4 linked regions of the Coturnix japonica genome follow. The protein of the gene in region 1 interacts with the protein of each later gene in a pairwise test. Links are inferred from orthologs where the notes say so. Each region holds a gene or a part of one and is shown in the gene's direction. Other genes may lie near its edges. The genes, in order: RALGDS, RRAS2, RAP1B and RAP1A.

The links.
Region 2: the proteins of RALGDS (region 1) and RRAS2 interact in a two-hybrid assay, tested with the Homo sapiens proteins (2 studies listed by BioGRID and IntAct). The link is inferred for Coturnix japonica from reciprocal best matches to the Homo sapiens genes RALGDS and RRAS2.
Region 3: the proteins of RALGDS (region 1) and RAP1B interact in binary tests that used the Homo sapiens proteins (3 or more experiments, as listed by UniProt). The link is inferred for Coturnix japonica from reciprocal best matches to the Homo sapiens genes RALGDS and RAP1B.
Region 4: the proteins of RALGDS (region 1) and RAP1A interact in a two-hybrid assay, tested with the Homo sapiens proteins (3 studies listed by BioGRID and IntAct). The link is inferred for Coturnix japonica from reciprocal best matches to the Homo sapiens genes RALGDS and RAP1A.

Annotation. Positions count from the first base shown.
Region 1 is NC_029532.1:5,335,361-5,340,405, reverse strand, and holds part of RALGDS (ral guanine nucleotide dissociation stimulator), read left to right. Parts: intron 1-32; coding exon 33-107; intron 108-222; coding exon 223-416; intron 417-718; coding exon 719-840; intron 841-958; coding exon 959-1,174; intron 1,175-1,295; coding exon 1,296-1,399; intron 1,400-1,720; coding exon 1,721-1,805; intron 1,806-2,366; coding exon 2,367-2,444; intron 2,445-2,530; coding exon 2,531-2,617; intron 2,618-3,075; coding exon 3,076-3,108; intron 3,109-3,291; coding exon 3,292-3,413; intron 3,414-3,492; coding exon 3,493-3,588; intron 3,589-3,692; coding exon 3,693-3,894; intron 3,895-4,131; coding exon 4,132-4,458; intron 4,459-4,605; coding exon 4,606-4,720; intron 4,721-4,810; coding exon 4,811-4,986; 3' UTR 4,987-5,045. UniProt on the Homo sapiens protein: Functions as a guanine nucleotide exchange factor (GEF) activating either RalA or RalB GTPases and plays an important role in intracellular transport. Interacts and acts as an effector molecule for R-Ras, H-Ras, K-Ras, and Rap.
Region 2 is NC_029520.1:14,531,540-14,537,223, reverse strand, and holds the start of RRAS2 (ras-related protein R-Ras2), read left to right. Parts: upstream 1-2,151; 5' UTR 2,152-2,395; coding exon 2,396-2,500; intron 2,501-5,684. UniProt on the Homo sapiens protein: GTP-binding protein with GTPase activity, involved in the regulation of MAPK signaling pathway and thereby controlling multiple cellular processes. Regulates craniofacial development.
Region 3 is NC_029516.1:31,953,102-31,958,896, forward strand, and holds the start of RAP1B (ras-related protein Rap-1b), read left to right. Parts: upstream 1-2,087; 5' UTR 2,088-2,212; intron 2,213-5,795. UniProt on the Homo sapiens protein: GTP-binding protein that possesses intrinsic GTPase activity. Contributes to the polarizing activity of KRIT1 and CDH5 in the establishment and maintenance of correct endothelial cell polarity and vascular lumen.
Region 4 is NC_029541.1:3,383,983-3,388,898, forward strand, and holds part of RAP1A (ras-related protein Rap-1A), read left to right. Parts: intron 1-385; coding exon 386-454; intron 455-1,339; coding exon 1,340-1,396; intron 1,397-1,509; coding exon 1,510-1,650; intron 1,651-3,422; coding exon 3,423-3,566; intron 3,567-4,916. UniProt on the Homo sapiens protein: Counteracts the mitogenic function of Ras, at least partly because it can interact with Ras GAPs and RAF in a competitive manner. Together with ITGB1BP1, regulates KRIT1 localization to microtubules and membranes.

The DNA of each region.
Region 1 (5,045 bases):
GAGGTCTGATGGGCTTCTCCCATCCCCCTCAGGTATGGCAAACTGCACGTGCAGACAAACGGGGACCACGCCAGGCACGTTGTGGATGAGAGGATGGAGCTGAAGAAGTAAGTCTGACCATACTGGGGGTGACTGCTGTTCAGTTCTCGCATGGAGGCATGTGCTGTCCTATATGTTTCTCATGACCTCACCCAGCTCTCCCCTCTGTTCCTTTCCCCATAGCACCATCTCCTCCATCCTGGGCGCCTGGTTGGACCAGTACTCAGAGGACTTCCGTAAACCCCCAGACTTTGCCTGCCTCAAGCAGCTCATCTCCTACGTGCGCCATAACATCCCTGGTTCAGACCTGGAGCGCAGAGCCCGCATCCTCCTGGCCCAGTTTCAGCAGCAGGAGCAGAGCGAGACTGAAGCAGAAGGTGGGGATGGTTCCCTGCTCATGGGGATATCAGGGTCTGTAAGGAGCTTCAGGTGTTACCACGTGGCTGGATGTGGAGGTACACAGGGAAGCTAATCCAGCTGAGATAGAAGTGGGATTTCTAAGTGGATTGGTTAATCTGCCTTTAATCCTCTGCAGACACTTGCATCCGGGTTAAATACGCCTGTGTGTTTATCTGAGCCTTATGCTGAGGTGTGAAAGCAGAGCTGCTGGAGGTGGGATGTGGTGTGGGATGCAGTGGGGTTCTGTGCTGCAGGGCTCAGCTTTGTGCCATCTTCACAGCTGTGGATCACGGTGGCTGCACGTTCCAGCTGGTGGAGGAGAACGGGGTCGGGGATGGGAAGTCAGATTTCCTCTCCTTCTCCCCTGAGATGGTGGCAGAGCAGTTCACACTCATGGATGCTGTGAGTACTCATTCAGCACAGGGTCAGTGCTGCTGCTCTGGGCACAAACCACTGTGTTCCCTCACACACCACTCCATCTTTTCCCCTAAGAGACCCATCCCATCCCTTTATCTTCCAGGAGCTGTTTAAGAAAGTGGTGCCTTACCACTGCTTGGGCTGCATCTGGTCCCAGCGAGACAAGAAAGGCAAAGAACACCTGGCACCCACCATCCGTGCCACTGTCTCGCAGTTCAATAGCGTGGCCAACTGTGTCATTGCCACGTGCCTCGGGGACCGGACCCTGAAGCCACAGCAGAGGGCTAAAGTGGTGGAGAGATGGATCGAAGTGGCTCGGGTAGGACAAGTGCAGCCCCATTCACTTTGCCCAGGGCTGGGGGTTTGTGGTGTACAAATCAAAGCAGATCCCTTGGCTTTGTTTAACATCAAGCCCTGCTGTCCCCTTTATCTGCTTTCAGGAGTGCCGCATCCTGAAGAACTTCTCCTCGCTCAGAGCCATCCTTTCAGCTCTGCAGTGCAACGCTGTGCACCGGCTGAAGAAGACCTGGGATGAGGTCCTGCGGTGAGCAGCACCTGGGGGTCCTGGGGGTGCTGGGTGGTCTCAGGGGGTGGCTGTGCTGGAGCTGTGGCCCTTCAGTGTATAGACAAGAGATGTGTAAATGGGATCATTGCGGCTCTGGCATTGCCCAAAGCCAAGGGATCTGAGGAGAGTGAGGAAACAAAGGCAGTACTGTCTGCTTCTCCTTTCCATCTGAACACCCTGGAATAACCCCAGTCAGCAAGGCCTGCTGCAGCTGTGAGCTTTGCTGGGGTCATTTGGGTGCGCAAGGAAGAGACCCAGTGTGGCACCATTGCTGACTTCCTTGTCTTTCCCCCCGAGCAGGGAGAGCTTCCGCACTTTCCATGAGCTCTCAGAGATCTTCTCCGATGAGAACAACCACTCCTTGAGCCGGGAGCTGCTCATTAAGGTATGGGGCACCTGCAAGTCCTGACAAGGAGCTTGGGCTGGTGTTGGCTGAAAAGGTCCCTGTTGTTCCATCTGCCAGGCAAACTGGGCATTCTGCTTTTCTACCCCAAAAGCTGTCATTGCATGAAGGTCTTAAAGCAGTTGAATGGGTAGAGATAAGCAGTGGGATATGGTCTGGTGCACCTGAGGATGGCCTTTAACCAGATGCAAAGTTCAGCTCTCCATAGGCCTCCTGGGTTAACATGGGGCAGTGGGGTTTGGGAAAGGCTGAAGCCAGGTGTCCTCACAGCTTTCCAGCTCCAGACTGGGGGCTGAGATCACATGAAATACAAAAGGGAACAAAACAGCCCATTGAAGAGCTATTTATACAGAGAGCTGGAAATGGGAGCAGCACTTCCTATTCATTAAGCCTCTCCTCCCTGTTTAGCCCTGAAAAAGCTCAGCTTAGATTTCCTTCTCTTCCCCTCATTCCCTCTGCGAGGAAATGGCAGCAATAAAAGTGGCTGTGAATTTTAGCTCACGTTTTCCACTGGTGCTGATGTTGTCTCTCCCCACCATCCAGGAGGGCACGTCCAAATTTGCCACCTTGGAGATTAACCCAAAGAGGGCCCAGAAGCGGCAGCAGCAGCAGCGAGAGATGGTGAGTGGGTGTTTTCACATCCCCATATCCCTGCTGGGTGGCTTCCAGCTTTCTGCTGACCTCAGCCGTCCCTCCCTGTCCCCCAGGGTGTGATGCAGGGCACTATTCCCTATCTCGGCACCTTCCTCACGGACCTGGTGATGCTCGACACCGCCATGAAGGATTTCCTGGATGTACGTACCTCCATCTCCATCCTCCTCCTTTCCTTCGTGCTTAGACATCCCCATAGCCTGGCAGTTCAGTGTGGAGGGTTGATCCCCAGAGCACTTGTTGCTGTCCCTTTGGGCATCCCATAGCCAACACTGCCACCCTATGCATCCCATAGCCAACGTTGTCCCTATGCATCCCATAGCCAGTGTTGTCCCTATGCATCCCATAGCCAATGTTGTCCCTATGCATCCCATAGCCAACGTTGTCCCTGTGCATCCCATAGCCAACGTTGTCCCTGTGCATCCCATAGCCAACACTGCCACCCTATGCATCCCATACACACCCCGGCAGGCTCTGTCAATGGGCCGCTCTTACAGCGCCCCCTGGTGGGCATGGCGTGCACTGCAGCCGGAGCGGAGCTTTGTCCCTCCCTGTCCCTGCTTCCCGCTGACACCCTTCTTTTCTTCTCCTTCTTTTGCAGGGAGGGCTGATCAACTTTGAGAAGAGAAGGAAGGTGAGAGTTTGCACGGCTGGGTGGTGGGAGGTGGCTGGCGTTGTGCGAGCCCAGGCTCTGCCAATCTCTTTGGGAGGAGATTCTGGTCCTTCCTAGGCACCTTGGTGCATTGGGTTGGGCTGTTTGCAGAGGGTTGTGGGGCTGTGGACAGAAAGGGGTCATGACCATCTCTGTTGGATGCAGGAGTTTGAAGTCATTGCCCAGATCAAGCTGCTTCAGTCAGCCTGCAACAACTACAGCTTCACTCAGGAGGACCATTTTGTGGACTGGTTCCATAGCCTGGAGCGGCTCAGTGAGGCCGAGAGGTGAGTGCAAGCAGGGCTGTGCTGCTGCTGGTGCATTGGAAAGCTACAGGGAGCTCTGAAACCTTTATCTCTCCCCCAGCTATGGGCTGTCATGTGAGATTGAGCCACTGTCCGAGTCAGCCAGCAACACACTGAAGGCAAAGAAGAACACAGGAATCATCAAGAGATGGAGCGAGTGAGTCTGTTTGCCCCAGTGGGACCCAGTTGGAGACAAGGGTCAGTGCCATCATGTCCTTCCCTGGGCCTGCTCTCTTCTTACCCTCTCCTATCTCCCTGCAGCCGGCAGCCAGCCAGCACTGAGCCCTGTGCCAGTGGCAGTTCCCACTCCAAGTCCTTTGACCAGCTCAAGTGCGGGCAGTACCTGTGCAGTGGGGATGCCACTGACTCAGTCAGTGTCACCTCTGCTGGTTCCAGCAGCTCTGATGTGGAGGAGATCAACATCAGCTTCATCCCTGAGTCCCCCGACTGCCAGGAGAAGAAGGTATGGGGCAGCTTGTGGGGCTCCTGAAGCAGGTGCTCCCCTCAAGAGGGAATGGCCCCTGCTTTGCATGGGGGCTGGGGAGCTGGGGGCTGCTTCTGCCCTGCTGGAGCGAGGGAGGCCCCTGCTCTTTGTGGTGGAGCTGGGCTTGCCTTGGCACAGCAGGGTCTGGCAGCTCTGGTGGCTGTACGTCCCCTGCTGGCGCAGGGCAATGAGATCCCTCTGGCCTCCCTCCCCCAGCACTCGTACACCCCGTCTGTGGCTGATGGAGAAGCTAAACCCACTGTGTCCTCCGCATCCCCTCTCCTCCCTGCCCTCCAGTTCTGGGAATCCACCTCTCTCTCCTCCCTGGACACGTCAGGCATCGGCTCAGGCTCCAGCAGTGCCTCATCATCCTCCGTCTCCTCTACACCAGTGACAGCATCCCGCACTCACAAACGCTCCGTCTCCGGCATCTCCAGCTACTCGTCTCTCTCGCTGCCCCTTTACAACCAGCAGGTGGACGACTGCTGTATCATCCGTGTCAGCCTGGCTGTGGACAACGGCAACATGTACAAGAGCATCTTGGTTAGCACCCAGCACCCACATCAATTTCAGGGTTGGGAGGCTTGTCATGCTTGGATGCGGGCATGTCTGACACTGAGAGGACATGGAGGTGGGAGATGTTACGCTGTTTTGTGCAGTATGGTGGTTAACAGTGCTGTGTGCTCATAGGTGACCAGCCAGGATAAGACACCGGTCGTTATTCGCAAGGCCATGGCCAAACACAACTTGGATGGGGACCGGCCTGAAGACTACGAGCTCGTTCAGATCATCTCAGAGGAGAGAGGTGTGTATGGGGGGTGGGATTCTCTTCCTGGCTTGGGCTCTGGGTGGGAGCAAACTGTGCAGCTGACTCCCCATCTTTGGTCCCTCCCAGAGCTGAAGATCCCCGACAATGCCAACGTCTTCTACGCCATGAACTCTGCTGCCAACTACGACTTCGTGCTCAAGAAGCGGGGTTTCTCCAAGGGGGTGAAGATCAAGCACGGCTCCAGCTCCACCCTGCCCAGGATGAAGCAGAAAGGCCTGAAGATTGCCAAAGGCATCTTCTAGCCTCAGCCCCACTGCCACCCCTCACCGACGGGGCCTTGTGGGCAGGCTGTAGCCAGGCC
Region 2 (5,684 bases), on another chromosome or scaffold:
AAATCTGGCTGCTCCCAGGCTAGAGATTCAGATGCTGTTTTGAATATCCAGGCATTTCCTATGCCAGAACTGTCTTTTTGTTATCCTGCCTCTCAGCCAGCAGCGTTTTGCCCTTTCATGGTAATGAAAAAAACAGTAATTTTGTCTCATGTGCAGGGAAGAAACTCCAGTTGTATGGTGGGACACTGTGTGCCTGTGTGCACTGATAGCTCGCTTTCTGGTCAAGAAAATCCAGATGTGGCTTGTGGTTTGTGTTTTGTTGCCCCTGAGATGCACTCACCTGCTGTCCCAGGACACTGGACATTGGTGCCGCGATGCCAGAGTGGACTGATAAGCAAGAAGATGATTTCTCTATTGGGTATAGCACACCTGAATTTCTAAAGTAACCATAATCATAACAATGTTTTTTTTTAATATACTTGGAAAAAAACAATTGCACATTTCATTCTGGATTAGGTTTTCCATTCTCATCCCAAAGAAAAGCAATTTGTTGTGTTTTATTTCCCCCCCCCAGCTTCTTGTTTCACAGCTGTGAGAAGCCCATCTCCTCCGATCATGTTCTTGGTGGGAACTGCAACATGCATGTTCCTGGGGGTCATGGCATCTGTAAAGTGATGCTCGTTGCACTTGTGTAAGGTCAATACAGAAGTGCTGCCTTTGGGACTGTGTATAATGCTACATTCACAGGGAAACTTAGCGTTCCTGCAGAAATCTACCATGCTGACTCACATCCCAGAGATTTTGTAACTTGTTGCTGTGATAAGCCTGCGATCAGGCTCCTTTCTAATTAAGCAATCGTGTTCTCACAGAGCGCTTTTAGCTTCAATATGTTACTTACTGCATAGAAGTCTTCTAACCCTCAGCGCTGACATCTTTCCCAGGCTGCCAATGCAAAACAAAGTTCTGGATCTTCCCCCCAAGCACTTCCTGAAACCTTTTTTTTTTCCATCATTACATAAAGCACCGGGGTGCTCTCTCTTTTAAGCTTGCCATCTGGATGCTGCTCTTGATACTGTCTGTCTTCAAGCATGTATATTCAGGCTGGATCTGAAACGGTTCAGCCTCTTGTCATGTAACTGCTCTAAAAGTTGTACTTCTCAATCGCTGCACCAAAACTTTGGCCACTTTTTCACCATCTCACGTCTTGATGCTTTGAGTTGACCCGTTCTATGATAGAGGGGATGGTGAAGCACTGGCACAGCTGCCCAGAGAAGCTGTAGGTGCCCCATTCAGGAGTGCCAGCCTTAATGGGGCCCTGGGCAGCCTGAGCTGGTGGGAAGCAGCCCTGCCTATGGCTGGGAGTTGGAATTGGATGGGTTTAAAGCCCTTTCCAACCCAAGCCATGTTGTGTTTTTATGGTTTCCCAAACCCGGGCCTTGCTGCAAGAGTTGCTGGGTCTCTCCTGGGTGCTGTTTGGATACAGCTATCAGTCACACAAACTGTTCACCTGCTACTGCCCATCTCTTCTGTTATCTACTGCTTTATCTGTCAAACTGGGTAATGACCAACACAAAGAATTTAACGGTAACAGGTTTTCACAGTGGAGTCATTGTTAAAGCAATGGATGCCGGTGTTACTTGTTTTAAGCCTTCGATGTCCACTCTGATAACCTTCCTCTGAAGTGGAATTCAAATACTGGACGGCCTCAGCGGCTCCAGCAGCTCTTTGAAACAATGTATTTGAAACCGAAAGCTTAAAAGATAAGGTTAGAATAAGGCGTTCGCTTCTCTGTATCTTCACACCGAGGGAACCCGATACCCTGTTACAATAGTTTGCACAGAGACCGCTGAGCTCCCGGAACTCGGCGATGCCCTGAGCGGGGCTGGACGGTCACTGCGCTGACAGCTCCTCGCTGCATTTCTATTAAAAGCAGACAGACAGACAAACCAAACTTAGGACGGAGGAGAGCAGAGACGTCCAGCCGTGCCGAGAGCTCGGAGGCGGCCGTGACATCGGGGTGGTGACTCGGGGTAAGGGCAGCTCCGGGACACGCGGCTTCGAGGATCCCGCAGAGGGGCAGCCCGGCCTTACGGGACCGGGAGGGATCCTCCTGCGGCCGATGCCGCGCCCCCTCATGTATGTATTAGCGCTCATTAGCATGGCTGATGAGGCGGCCCCGCCCCCCGGCGGCCATTTGTAGCCGCGGCGCCGTGGCTGCGGGGGCGGGCGGTGCTCCGTTCGCTCGGCTCGGCGCTGCTCTTGTCGGCTCGGCGCTGCCGCACGGCGGGGCGCTCCGTTACTCGCGCTGTGCCGGCCACGCGTTCCGTGAGCGGCGGGGCCCGGGGCCGCTCGGAGCCGAGCGGGCGGCGGACGGCGGGGAGGGAAGGCGGCGGCGGAGGGCAGGGAGGCGCCGGACCTGGCGGCGCTGCCGCGCTCGGCTCCCCCAGGCTCCCCCATGGCCGCGGGCTGCAGGGACGGCCCGGGGCAGGAGAAGTACCGGCTGGTGGTGGTGGGCGGCGGCGGCGTGGGCAAGTCGGCGCTCACCATCCAGTTCATCCAGGTGAGGCGCGGCGCTGGGGCAGCCCGTCTCGCGGCGCCGGGGTGGTTCCGCTCCGCCCGGCCGCGGCGCCGGGGCCTGGGCGCTGCCCGGCGAGCGGAGCCGGGGGGGAGGAAGGCCCGGAGGCGCCCCGTGCTGCCGGCGGGAGGCGGCGGCGTGACCTTGGGGGGCCCCCCGGGAAGGCGCCGCGGGAGGGAAGGGGTGGCCGCCGCCTCCGGCCTGGCGCTGCCCGCGCCGTGCGGGTGGGGCGGCGCCGGGGTGCGAAGCGCGTCCCTGCGGGCGGCGGCGGGGCAGGGCAGGGTGAGCCGGGCGGCACGACTGCCTCGGTGCTGCTCTGCGGCTCCTGAAAGGCTACGGGGAAAGGTGCCTCGCGAGGGAGGGCCCTCGGTCTGCCCCTCTATCGTACCGCTTTAGCTTACCTCGGTGCCGTGCCTTCGGGCTGAGCTCGGGGCTCGCAGGTAGCTGCGGCTTCAAGAGCTTGGCTTCCTGGGAAGCTGTTGCGAACGGTGCGCTGAGATGGGACCGGCTGCTGTCTGCGCAGCTTTGTGCAGCAGTAGGTACCGCGTGTGGCCGAGCGGGTCCATCCCTGCTGCTGCTCTGGGGGCTGCTCGCTTCCTTGACCCACTGCAACTGGCTCGGAGCGCTGCTAACGCAACACGGTGTGGTCGCTTTGGATGGTGTTGCCTGGGTGTGCCTGTGGGTATCCGGGCTGGTGTGAGAGGAGCATGTGTGGCTGGAGGAGGCTGGAGGCCCGTTCTCCGGCGCCGCTGTCTTGGAAAGCGCTGCTGGATAGGTTTGTGGAGTCCCTGGCTGTAGTATGGCTTTTGGATAGTCATTTCTAGCATAGGAGGAGAGAAAGGTTCTGTGAAGTGCTGTATTAGTTTGCAGGCACGCGCACTGAAAGTTTATTAAAACAGAACTCAAGCTGCACACATATAGAAGTAAAAGCTTTGGCTCAAGAGCTGCTATCTGCACCCCTCTTCCAGAGGAAATCTGTGAATGGGGAGCCCGTGTCTGCCTTGTCCCATGTAAGGAACTCTATTAGCTGAGAAAGCGACGTTTAGCTTTAAAAGAGTGGTGTCAGAACAGCACTGTGGGGCTGAGCTGATGTGTTGAGAGTGAATTTTCCAAAACAGCTTATTGTCAGCTTGTATTACATTATCTGCATTGTTTTGCCCTCTCAGTTGCTTTATCTTGATGTGAAATCTTGCCACGGCAAAGTGATCTTTAGCAGAAAACTTGGCCTCTGAACAACCTGAGAAATAGCTGGAGAATAAAGACCCTCTCTGTGCAGAGCCTCAGGTGCCTTAGGGACTGGTGTCGTGTGTTTTCTGCAGTTGCTGCATTGCTATGGATGATAGGAAATAAAGCTTGATGTGTTGTTTCTTGGAGAGGATATTTTACTGAGCTCTTACACCTTGTGGTGGTGTCAAGTATGCCTGATGCCGTGCAGCCATCGCTGTCCTTCCTGCGCAGTAAATGTATTGCCAAACATGTTGTTTTCCTTTCAGGACTGTGTAGAAACTTTTCCAAATTGTTTTAAAATTGATTACAAGCGAGTCACATGCCTCATTGCTGGAATTTCTCAGGATTAAGTGGCAGACTCGTCATTGCCTCGCTACAACATGGCTCAGCGCTAGGTTTGGCCGCACGACAGGGCTTGATGTCACTGAGGGATTTTAGCTCTGTTTTGCATCGCTATTGCTCGTGATAAAGTGTGGTTGTCACCATCTCAGTTCTGAAGCTCTTAAGGAGGAACACTTCTTGTTGGTGAATAGTTCCCGCTTAGATTTGTTTCCCTGTGCTTAACTAGAAGTGCTTTGGGCAGTTGTGCTTCAGGGCTGGTTGCTTCCAGGTAAACAGGGCTGTTGTGCTCAGCTGTGGTGGGAAAGCACGTGTCCTGGTGTATGTTGCCTCCTTTGGAGGATTAAGGGGAGATCTGTATCTGAAAATAGGAAATGGTTTCCTTTGGTGAATGGTGAAATAAGTGAAGAGGAACCGAGGCTGCAGGCAGAACCAGCTGGGTGGCTCTCTGTCACCAGCCCTGGGATTTGCCTGCCTAGTGCATCCCTCCTGCATTGCTTAGTGCTTGTGGTGGTGGCATGGTGTGAGGTTGGGCCTTGTAGGGGCACTGGAGCCTCCTGTCCTGGGTGCAGCATCCTGCATGAGAGCATCGGTTCCTGGTGGTTGTTGTGCTCAAATTTGGGCTGAAACAGCACTGTTTTGGTCCTGCAGCCAAAGCTCTTCCACTGCATGTGAGCTGTTCAGAAGTTCCTCTTACTCTTGGAGAAGCTGTGGGGTGCACATTTGCAGATGAGGGCTGTCGGTGTGTGATGACTGGTGTGCGCCTCTCAGCCCTTCCTCTAGGGAGATAAACAGAGCTGGGTATTAGTGCTGGTGGGATGGGATTTCATCCTGGAAATTCACAATCATTTCCTCTAAATCAGGATGTGATATATGAACTTTCTGCTGTCCAGTCTGCGTGCTGTTAGGACAGGAAGTGGAGAAGTTGTAATTGTGGAGTAGATGGCCCCTGCCACAGTCATAAACCTTAGGAAAGCCCTGGTTAATGGTAGTTCAACTTCATGCCACAGTCTTTTAAATCTAAGTGCCGGAGCTAAACATTCCTACTCTTAGTTAAAAAATAAACAAATAATCCATCACACTGAGATCCCCAAAGAGGCAGAAGCCTTTCTTGCAGGCAGCTGAGGCATTTGGGAGCGTGAGCCGTGCAGGGCACACAGCTGTTGCTGCAATAGCTTCTCTCCAGCTGTCATGCAGAGGTCTGTCACAAAATACCCCACATTCCCTTCCAACTCAGCCCTTTGTAATATTCAGGTTTCCTTGCTTAAAGGGAGTGCAGCTCGCAAGTACTTAATCACCCTCTGCATACTTCTTAGCCTGCAGTTGCCATTTACTTCATGCTTTTTTTGGTTAGCTGGATCGCTGCACTGCTTGTTTCAGCAGCACACAGCAGGAATGCCACTGACGTTCTATGTGTCCAAGTATCTGCTCTGCGAAGCTGTGGCTGCCCTTGGTCAAAATTGTTAAAATAATTCATCATATTCTTCTTCCTTTTAGTAATGTTGAAGGTTTTGTTGTGTTTGTATGCTGAGCAGCCTCCAGTGGCTCCCAAGGGTGAATATCTCCAGAGAATGTGTTGGTTTAAAAACCTTGAGGTGGTGTT
Region 3 (5,795 bases), on another chromosome or scaffold:
GAGCCTCACACTGCTGCAGACACTGGAGTAACTCTTGTGAGGGGCTCAGGCACACCTGAAGCACAATAAGCTGGATACCCAGTTTCTATTCACAGCCACACTGATATGAGTAAAGCCAGTTTAAGGGTTGTGCTGAGGATTAACCAAACAATTCATAGGAAAATCCAAACTTAAGAGCCTGATTTACATGCAAAATACGCAGTCCAGACAGTTAGGAAAAAGGAATTCTCGGCCTCTCTCACTCAGAGTGGATCTTAACTGCGTATTTCTTCTAGTTACAGTGTTCAATTTTCAAGTATGCCTGCTCTAAGTAATCCATATGTGTATATATGTATATATACACTTATTCTAACATAATGAGTTTCAGATTCCCCTGTGAAACCCAGACACCAAGACCTGCTTGCAGGAGACTCATCCAACTCCCAGAGGCCCCTTCCTGTTTTCTTGTTGCACAGCGAAGAACAATACTTACCACACTGCCTGTAAGGCACAGGGCAATTAAAGGCACACTGCAAAGTATTACTTTGGCAATGGCACTCATCTGCTCTCTGAACACTGCTTGTTATTTGGGATTAATCTAGGTCACCAACAAAAGTTGGGAGAGCAGAGGATACATCTTCCTGTTTGTTCTTTTTATTGGTGTCAATGATTATTGCTGGGAGCTGATAATAACATCTAGTGACAAAGAAGTCTGAAGAAACCGATGTTGCTTCTGTTTGGTGAGTACATAAACTTCCCAGCCAACCCAAGAGATGTTCTTCTGGTTCACAGTTTAGACAGACACCATCTATTTCAACATCTCTGCCCCACAACGGATGCCCTGCTGAAAACCAACTGCATTTCTGCACACTCGGCTTCTCGCAGCATCAGCTCTCGTGTATTATCCATCATTTACGGGGATTCATTATCAAAGTACTGCATGCGGGCTTAAGCTGCACAACACCAAGAGATTTGTCTGGACTTCGGAAGAGAATTTATGACATCTAGGAATTAAAAGAAACGTGTCACTTTCTTGGTGCTGTGAGCCTCGACAAAGCTGCTCCTACCAAGGCAGCACATCCCAGTGGCTGCTCTGGCTCCATTGGCTCCGACCTCCAGCTTCTCCCACACACCCACCCCACGCTGTGTGTCTCCCATTTTAGCCAGGCCCTCTCCATCGTGTAACGGGGGGGAAATGTCATCGCTTTTTCCCCTTTTCTATCTCTGTGCCACAAACGGAGCGGCCCTGCTTCCTCCACACCCACTCCCCTTGCTGCAGCTTCCTGTCAGCCCTGCACACCACGCCGCTTCCTCTGGCAAAAGTTTTATCTGTGCTCACTGCGTTAACTGTTCACTTCCCACACACACTGAAACGGCTATTTCTAACATCTGGCGGTTAAACTCTTTCCGACTGGAAAACTTTTCTGGACTCTTTTCCTGATCTCTAAGGTCCCTTCCAACCCACACGAGACTATGAGACTATGAGACTGTGATACTATGACTGGAAAAATTAAAGTGGTGCTCAGGGAGAGTTAAAAGTGCCTTATGTTATTTAATGGTGAAAGAAAAGAAAGGATGGAGAGTGTATGTGCAGGATGTAACATATTGTACGTGTGGGGCTGATGAGGGCACCCAGAGGTGTAGCAGCCCATGGAGTAACAGCCTATAGCAGAGTGCCACATTTCCAAAGTCCACGGATCTCAGAACCCTTCGCCACGAGTGCGAAGCTTCGGAACCTCCCCTGACACGGCTGGGAGGCCCAGGCTCATTCCGTTCAGGCGCTGCATCCCCGGGTACCAACATCCCCTCTCTCTCAGGGGATGCGAGCTCCCAACCCGCCACACCCAGGCCGGCCTCCCCCGCCCCCTCGTTCCCTTCATGCCGCGGGGAGACAGCCCCACAGCGGCTCGCAGTCAGCCCATTGCCGCCCGAGGCCGAACACACCCCGTCGCCCGGTGCCGGGCCGCCCCTCAGGGCAAGGGGGGCCAAGCGGGCGGGGGCAGGAGGGAAGGGGCTGGGGAGGGCCCCGCGCCTGCGCGCTGGGGGCGCGGCGCTGGGGTCAGCCCACCCCTCCGCACCGCCCCCGCCCCCGCCGCGCCAGAGCGAGGCTGGGCGTGCGGCGTCACGGCGACGGCCCCAAGCCGCGCCCCAGCACAGCAGCGAGCGGCAGCGGGCGGAGCGCAGCGGGCTCGGCCGGCGAGGCGGCGGCGGCGGGGAGCGGAGGCGCTGTCCGGTAGGAACGAGGGCGCCGGCCGGGCCCGTGGGGGGTGGCGGTGGGGTGAGGTGGGAGAGGAGGAGGGGGAGGGTGTGAGACGGGGAGCGGCGCGACGAGAGGGAAGGGGCAGGAGCCTGGAACATGGCGGAGGAGGAGTCGCCGCCGCCCGGCCTGAGGCGCGGGGCAGTGCGGGGCCCGGCCATACCGCCCGCTGCCCGCCGCAGAAGTTGGAGCGGAAGCGGAAAGTTGTAACCCCGCGGCTCGGGGCCGCCGGGGAGGGAGGAAGAGAGACGAGGGAGGGGCGGGTGCCGCCCGGCCGGGGACCAGGTCCCCGCAGCCGCCGCCGTTGTCAGCGGGAAGTCCGAGCCGGGCCCCACCTAGTCCGGCCGCCCGCCGCCGCTTCCGGCCGCTGGGCCCGGGGGGGGCCCGCCCGGCCTCGGGGGGTGCGGCCACAGCGGGCGGCCCCGCGAGGAGCGGTCAGCGGGAACTGCCCCAGTGAACAACAGAAAGCACCAAGGGTGGAGGGGAGCCGAGAAGCCCCAGGCCGGAAGGGACAGCGGTGTTCATCGGCACGTCTGAACTCCGGCGGCGAAGCAAATGGAAGAGCTCGAGGGATGCTGCCTGCACCGAGGCAGCGGAACGCACACCCCCACCTCCACATCCCCCCCAACCCCCCAAAATATATATATATGTATCCTCCCATCGAGATATATGTCCAATAGAAGCGAAAGTAAAGTTTTCAGAGGGATGAAATGAAATCAGAGTGTTTTGCGCTGTCCTCGGATAACAAAAAGAGGGTATAGCGCAGCCAGGCTCCTGCAGAAGCCATCAGTGTGCTCTATCTGCCCTTCTGTCTGGAGCTTGTTCCCCCTCCAAGCAGTACAAGTCATCCTTGGGGTGTGACAGGGTGCTGCAGCTCCAATAAAAAGGATATTTCAGAGATGCTCAGCTTGAAAATTGCGGTTTCTGCATGTGTTCCTGCATTTAGATGTTTTCATTAGTGGGACTTGTTATTTCCAGCACATAGCAGCTATATTTTATCCTAATACGAAGTACGTAGACGGAGAATGGCAATGACTCTTCAGCACTCTTTTGTGGCAAAATGTGCACTGAAATCACTGTTACAGAAAAGAAGGAATGAAATGCACTTCCCCCCCCCCCCCCTAATAAATTAGAATTAAAAGGCAAAGCAGCAATCATCTCATTTTATGTTAGTAATCGTTCAGAGATAAATTTATTTCCGTTTTGAAAGTGCTTTGCAGAAGACTTGAGAAAGCAGTCCAGCGGTCTGCTTTTTGGCCTTTTATCTGTACTGAAATCTCAAGCTTTTGGAAAACAGAAGTTAATTTCTAGAACACTCAAGAGGTTTTGCTTTATTCATTACTCCCATCTCACTCCCAAGTCTGTGCTGCAGACTTCGCTCGGCCTAAAAATGGGCTGAGTGTGTAGTGAAGGATGCCTCAGTTGCTCACATCAAAGGCTTTGCAAATAAACTTCCTAAATAATAACACGCAGTGTTCTTTCCCTGTTACCTGTGCATTTCAGAGATGTTCCACATACTGGAATGAACTGCTTAAAGTTGAGCTTGCAACTATAGTATAAGGCTTTGCAGTTCTCTGAGTTGCTCCGTGTGCTATAAAGGTCACGTCATGTATTTGATTTTTTGTGGGTTTCCTTTTTTTGCTTTTCTTTTTAGCAAAGCTGATGGTGCTCGAAGCACCTGCCTGCCTGGGGGTGCTGTAATGTGCAAAACAGAGTTGAAAGACTGTAAGCTTAAAAACAGAACTTGTGTATGAAAAAGACAAACGGTCTTTTGTGCTGCTTGTAATTGGGCGTCTTGCTTCTGTTACTATATACCTTCCTCGGGTTAATTTTCTGAGCAGTATTAAAACTCTGTGATTTTTGTTCTCAAGTTGTTGTGCAGGGCAGTTCATCAAAAATAAATGTCAGACGAGCCATGACAGCTTTCTTTGTGCTGTGCTAGTTTTGCAGAGCGCAACCGACTGACTTTTTAATTGAGCGCCTTTCTGGAACAGAAGCAGATGGGAATCTAGGTGAGAGCCTCCAAAAGGAGGAAGAAATTCCTGAGGAAGGAAGTGTGCTGAAGACGACTTAGCTTGTGATCTAGCACTCAGTAAGCGTGGGAGCTAAAATAAAAGGCTGTCCACCTATCATCTGCAACATGAGAAGTGCAGGAGTCACAGAAGTACTCGGGTGCTCAGCACTTCACTGCTGTGGTGTGAACCCTGTTGTCATAGAGCGCTGCTGGCTGTTCAGAGAGCTGCTCGTGGGAGCAAGGATGTTATTTAGCTCAAAGCACTTCTGGGGTGTGTGGTAAGAGTGGGTGCTCTGAGAATTGCCCAGTGATGCTGAGGTGACCTTCAGATACCTCGCTGGCTTCTAAGAGTGCTCTAATTCTTCAGAGCACGTTCTGCAATTTCTCTCAAGCTTTTTATGAGTTTTAATCAAAATTACTTCTTCAGTAAACAGAACACTAAGTATTCCCCGTGCAACAAAAGTTTATATTTAGCTTGTGGTTGGAAGCGGTGCCACTCTTCTGCCTCAGAACAAGCGCCAAAGCAGACTGAAGTAGTCCGTATATTATCGGTGTGTTGAGTCCCTGCTGAGTTGGGGCAGGTTTCTGCCGTGCTTTGTTGCATCTAGGTCAGGTGGAGGGATTTTTTAGTCAGCCTCCTCCTTTGAAGAGATGGAGAGTATCTACAGAAACTACATGATACCGTTTGAAGGCAGACATTGTTTTCCTGCTCATACATGGTTGAGGTGGTCTGTTTCCATCATAAAAAGCAGGAAAAGGGGAAGGCCTTCTTTTTGAATAGGGGACCTGCTTAGTAGTTGACGGCTCTCATAATTATTCAGTGATTGGGTGTGGGAGAGCTTGAGCATCTCACTGGATGTGTCTGATGTATCAGTTTTGTCTCAGGGCCTGTCAAACATAAGAAAACTGAGCGGGATAGGCACAGTAAAAGTTATGTTCTTAAAAGTCTGTGATACTTTGCTTGCTGTAGGCAGGCAGAGTTTGGAGAAAGTCAGAGACTGGGTGGCACAAGTCATTTCTTGACAGAGCAGCTGAATGGGGCTGCCTTCAGTAGTGGCAGCGAGCACTGGCCTAGGGCCCGCATCTCCCTTGCTTTAGAATACCCAAAGAACACTGGGCAACTCAAAGGCCTTTTTCTCTCTTTTTTTTTTCTTTTTTAACTGTGTGCACCTCGTTTTGAATGCGATTGTAAACTTTTGACGTTCTGCACAGTCTTCTGGCGGCAAAGAAGGGGAAGAAGGCTGTACACACCAGGTTGGCAACCTGCCTCTCAGGCAACTTGTGAAATACAAAGTGATTTGGGGGCCCTCTAGCTATTCAGAACGCTCTCTTTCCATAGGCAGTGTTTTTAGCAGTAGTCTTTATTGCTGAAGCAGCAGGGTGAAGGTACTGTAGAGCCTATGGAAAAGTACATAGGGGAGCTAAAGGAACTTTCTTAGAGTTGAACCAGGAAGAAGAAGCAGAGCTTGGCAGTATCTACTGTATTGTTCCATTCAGCTTTCTAGTTATTAATCTAAGGAGTTTATGTCATTTGAAGTAAGTCCC
Region 4 (4,916 bases), on another chromosome or scaffold:
ATGGAGGACTAAAAGCTTTTGATACACTCTGTTCTTCCACAGCACCTTAAGCAAACTGAAGTGACTACAGAAATTCCTGTGCCTTCCAGGGGACCAGGAAAACTGGGGAGCAATGGGAGTCAGTGTGATGCATATACAGAGCCTGAGTGTTCAGGGATGGGTCTCATGTGTTACAACAGGCCAGCAGTCCCAAAGTGGCTCAAGAAATGACAGACTGCACAACATTTAATTGACATTACCACTAATTGATGTCATTTCTCCCCACCTGAACTTTCTCAGCAGCGATTTGATGCTGCTCCTTGTTTGGTGAAGTGCTTATTGGTTAAGTGTTACCATCACAATCCGTTTGCTTACCTGATTTTTGTTCCATCTCTTTTCTCCCCAGACTGTACAGTTTGTTCAGGGAATTTTTGTTGAAAAATATGACCCAACAATAGAAGATTCATACAGAAAGGTAAAGTAGTGGCGTTTCTGTTCCTTTCACATCTCACACTGCTCACTGCTTTTTAATAATGCTATTAAAGCCTATCAGACCGAGCCAGGTGTGTATCTGAGAGCATCATGGAGCCATAAAACTACAGATAGTTTCCTTTGGCTTTGCAGAATACTTCACAAACTTGAGGCTTCTGGCCAACCCAATGGCATGAGCTGCTGTATAGCTGAATAATAAGAAAAGGGCCAATGGTGCTGTTAAATTGGCTGTTTTTACCTCTATTTAATAGGAGAACTTAACCTCTGTTGCTCGCACAACTTTTAGATCTCTGATGTCTTTGTTGCTTTCTCTTGGTGTTATTCTGCTTAGTTTGAAGGCACATACAAAGTCTCTGCAGCTGCTTTGCACGCAGGGCTGAGCAGAAGTCCTTGTCAGGATCCCTGACCCTGGTGTTATGCAGCTCTATTAACAGTGCTGCTTTCTTCTCTGGGATTGATGTCAAGGAACCCATTGTTTAGCAGATTAGCATAATTGTTGCCATAATTAAAGACACCAAAACAGAAAACAAAACTTGCAGCCTTCATGCCTGCAATAATTAAGCATAAATTCTGAGCTCTGCTGTTAAGATTTATTCAGCTTTCGTAGAATTACCCACGGGGAGTCAGAGGCATTTCTTAGATGGTGAAAGGTTTGATAGGCCTGAGCGTGAGCAGAGGTACAAGGGAGCTGCCCCATGTGCCAGCTGGGGGTGTCACTGAGCTCTGATAGCAGAGCCTCTCATGGTGCTGGGAAGGTGCTGTACTGCAGAACTCTCTGTTGCAGAAGTGAAAAATGAAGCTGAGATTCCTCTCTTCTGCCTCATTTTGGAGGCTTTACTTTTAACTGTTTCTTTCTCTTTTTCCCCAGCAAGTGGAGGTAGACTGTCAACAGTGTATGCTTGAAATCCTGGATACAGCAGGGACAGTAAGTGTAACCCCTTTTTCTAATTGGCACCTCCTTATCTCCATACAGCAAAGCTATTCCATCACAAACATCCATCAGCTGCATTAATGCCATTCCTTTTTCCTTGACTCCAGGAGCAATTCACAGCAATGAGGGATCTCTATATGAAGAACGGCCAAGGGTTTGCACTAGTATATTCAATAACAGCACAGTCCACGTTTAACGACCTACAGGACCTACGGGAACAGATCTTACGGGTGAAGGACACTGAAGATGTAAGTACAACATTGTCTGGTTTTGTAAATGAATAGCATATCTTCCGAATGAAGCACGTGGAAATTTGTACGTGAGCAGAATGTCTTTCTAGGAATACTCATTGCTGCACAGCCAAGTTTTGTGCTGGAGTTCCCTCTGCAGTGTTTGTGACATTAAAAACAACATCTCGAGTTTGCTGGAAAGCTGACAGTCTGGATGGGGAGTGATAGCAAAATGGTGGGAGTCTTTTTTAGTGTTGGTGTTTTCCTCTTTCACTGTGCATTAGCAGGACTTCATTTCCTTCAGACTAAAGAGAAATCACTGTTACATTTGCCAATAATGATTCAGTCACTAAAATGGATTTATGGTGTTGTGCCAGGGGGTGGCACATAGAATCATAGAATGGCCTGGGTTGAAAAGGACCACAATAATCATCTGGTTTCATGCCCCTGCTGTGTGCAGGGTTGCCAACCACCAAACCAGGCTGCCCAGAGCCACATCCAGCCTATTTGTTCAACCCAAGGCTCAGAACCTCTTCAACTTTCATGCTCAGTTTTGGGCTTCCATTTTTAAGTTTCAGGGCACAGCTTTTAACATCCCAGCACTTAAACCATTAACCTTAGTCTGTGTTTAAATCCAGTCTTCACATGACACAGGAAGTGATAGAGCAAGTTGTTCTACTTCCCTTTTCTGCTCCACATTGATTACTGTATCCTGAAATAACCTTATAAAAAGTTTGGAATCTTTCAAACCTGTCCCATTAATCAACTAAGTAGCACTTTTTTTTCCCCCCTATCATTTCTCATTTTCATTTCCTTCTTTTATTTGCTGAACATGTTCAGAAGGAGAGAGTGTAAGAGAGAGCATTGGGCTGAGATGGTTGTGAATCATAGAAGGGTTTGGGTTGGAAGGGACCTGCAAGGTCATCTGTTCCCAACCCCCTGTTACAGGCAGAGACACTTCCATTAGCCCAGGTTTCTCGCTGCCCCCATCCAGCCTGGCCTTAATGTGAAATGATCTTTTGAGGGGGGTTTTGTGCCTTCAGCTTTCTGATGTAAGAAGTAAAATTTACTTCTTAAGCATAAAAGTGCCGTCGTTTTCTGCTCAATACGGCTGTTTTAAAGACAAAAATTAATCTTGAGTGCAGCTGAATGAGAGGGAGAGACTGCAAATACTTTCAAGTGGATTAGAAAGCGTATAGTGTGTTGGAAATTATCAAAGGAAGTGGATGGTGATTTATTTCCCAGCTGGAGAGTACTCATTTTCTGCTCAAAGAATGAAATGCTTCAGGAAATGGAGCGAGGCACACACCCACCAGCAGCAGCTCTTTGGGTTTGGGGTTTTTTCTACGTGTGTATAGCAAAGGGAAACAGCTGCTGAAGGAGAGGGGCTGACGGCCATCACTGTGCTGTGGAGCAAATGACTTCTTGTGTCTGCATTGTGGATATAGGCTGAATACACTGAAAATGCACCAAATGTGTATTTTAATGTGGCATTTATTGGAAGCTCCTTTTGGGAGCTGAGCTGCCAAGGGCTCGTTAATTAGAAACTTCAGTTATTATCAGCGAGTCATTATTAATGATGGTTTCAGTGCTATTTGTAGTGAATGCCCTTTTATCTGTGCATAAAATACATCAGTGATGCAATATGCACTGTGATGTGATGGGCAGATGGCCGTGTGCTGGGGCTCTGGGACCACATAGCTGCATTTCATTGACAGCACTGCTTGGGCAGTAGGTGTTGTATATTATGTTGCTGACACATCTCGTCCTCTTGCTCATCCCTTCTCCAGGTTCCAATGATTCTGGTTGGCAATAAATGTGACCTGGAGGAAGAACGTGTAGTCGGCAAAGAACAGGGTCAAAACTTAGCAAGACAGTGGTGTAACTGTGCCTTTCTAGAATCGTCTGCAAAGTCTAAAATCAATGTTAATGAGGTAAGTATGAGCTGCACCTTGTCTTTCTCACTTCTACATGAATGCCTTGTAGAGTAGAATCATAGAATTGCTCAGGTTGGAAAAGACCTTAAAGATCATTGAGTCCAACCACAACCTGACCATACTATTCTAACAGCCCTCTGCTAAATCACGGCCCTGAGCACCACATCCAGATGGTTTTTAAACACCTCCAGGGAGCATGGATAGCAGAGGGTCCCGAGTGACCTGGATGACTCTTAGATAAACTTCTACACGTTTTAAAGATAACAACTGCTGCTATTCTGAATGTGGATATGCCCCACTGTATCACTTGTCGTGTTGCATAGTATTGGCTGTTGGTTTTGAAAGTATTTGCTTTTCACATTCCTGCTACATCTGGCTGCTCAAGCAGACATCCCATCACAGTTCCTCCTCTGGTAAGCCACTGATTTACTGAGCCCATTTCCAAACATGGATCTATCTGCACAGTTTTCCTTGTTTAAATGAGAACCACCTCTGCACGTTGGTGTGCCCAGCGTCGCGTGGCTCTTGCCATCCAGCACTGAGGTTTTATTCTCCCTTGTGAGCTATCTGACAGGGCCGGGGGCCAGCTTTCCATTCACAAATGCTAAGGTGACCCCATTGAGCAGAGCAGCTTTGGTGCCAGGAGATAACTGGGACCATTTAGGAGCCTGAGATAAGGAGAAGCAGTGGGTTTTGGCCCAGACCCAGCATCCTTCTGGCAGCCAGTGTGCCATGCCCAGTGCTGCAGGGATGGGGCTGCAGGGACCTCATCTGCCAGCAGAGAGATGTTGTGTCCTTTGCCACATGTTGCTCCAGCACGTGGTGGTTTCCTTTGTACAGCCTTGGCTCTTGCTTGTAAAGGCTTAAAGATGGAAAAGCTGTTCTGCATCAGAATAGAAAATGCTTCTTATTGGTTGGTTTCTCCTACAGGAACCTTTCCTTTATGTGTCATCTGTACTTTTAGCATCTGGGTGTGAACTGCTCCTGCTACCTGGATCTTGCATCTTAGCAAAGGATATGCAGGAGTAGCTCAGGTGCGCTTCATTACACCAGAACCCAATGAAGGCAGCGTGGGTTCATTCTGTTTGGAGCAATAGAACTTGGTACTTGTGCTTTCATGCACATACAAGGCAGAAAATGTGAAATATCCAGGCATTGAAATCTGTTCCAACCTGTTTCTTTGTCTTTTGGATTTCCTTGGAATCAACCAGAATTTGTGAGCAATCAGCAGCTCCAGGAAGGAAGGAAATGAGGAAGAAGGGTGGGGCTTTCTGGAGGTCAAAGTAGTTCTGTTCAGTACCACGACCCAACTCCATGCAAGTTTGCAAAGCTCCTTTTGCTAGGAAT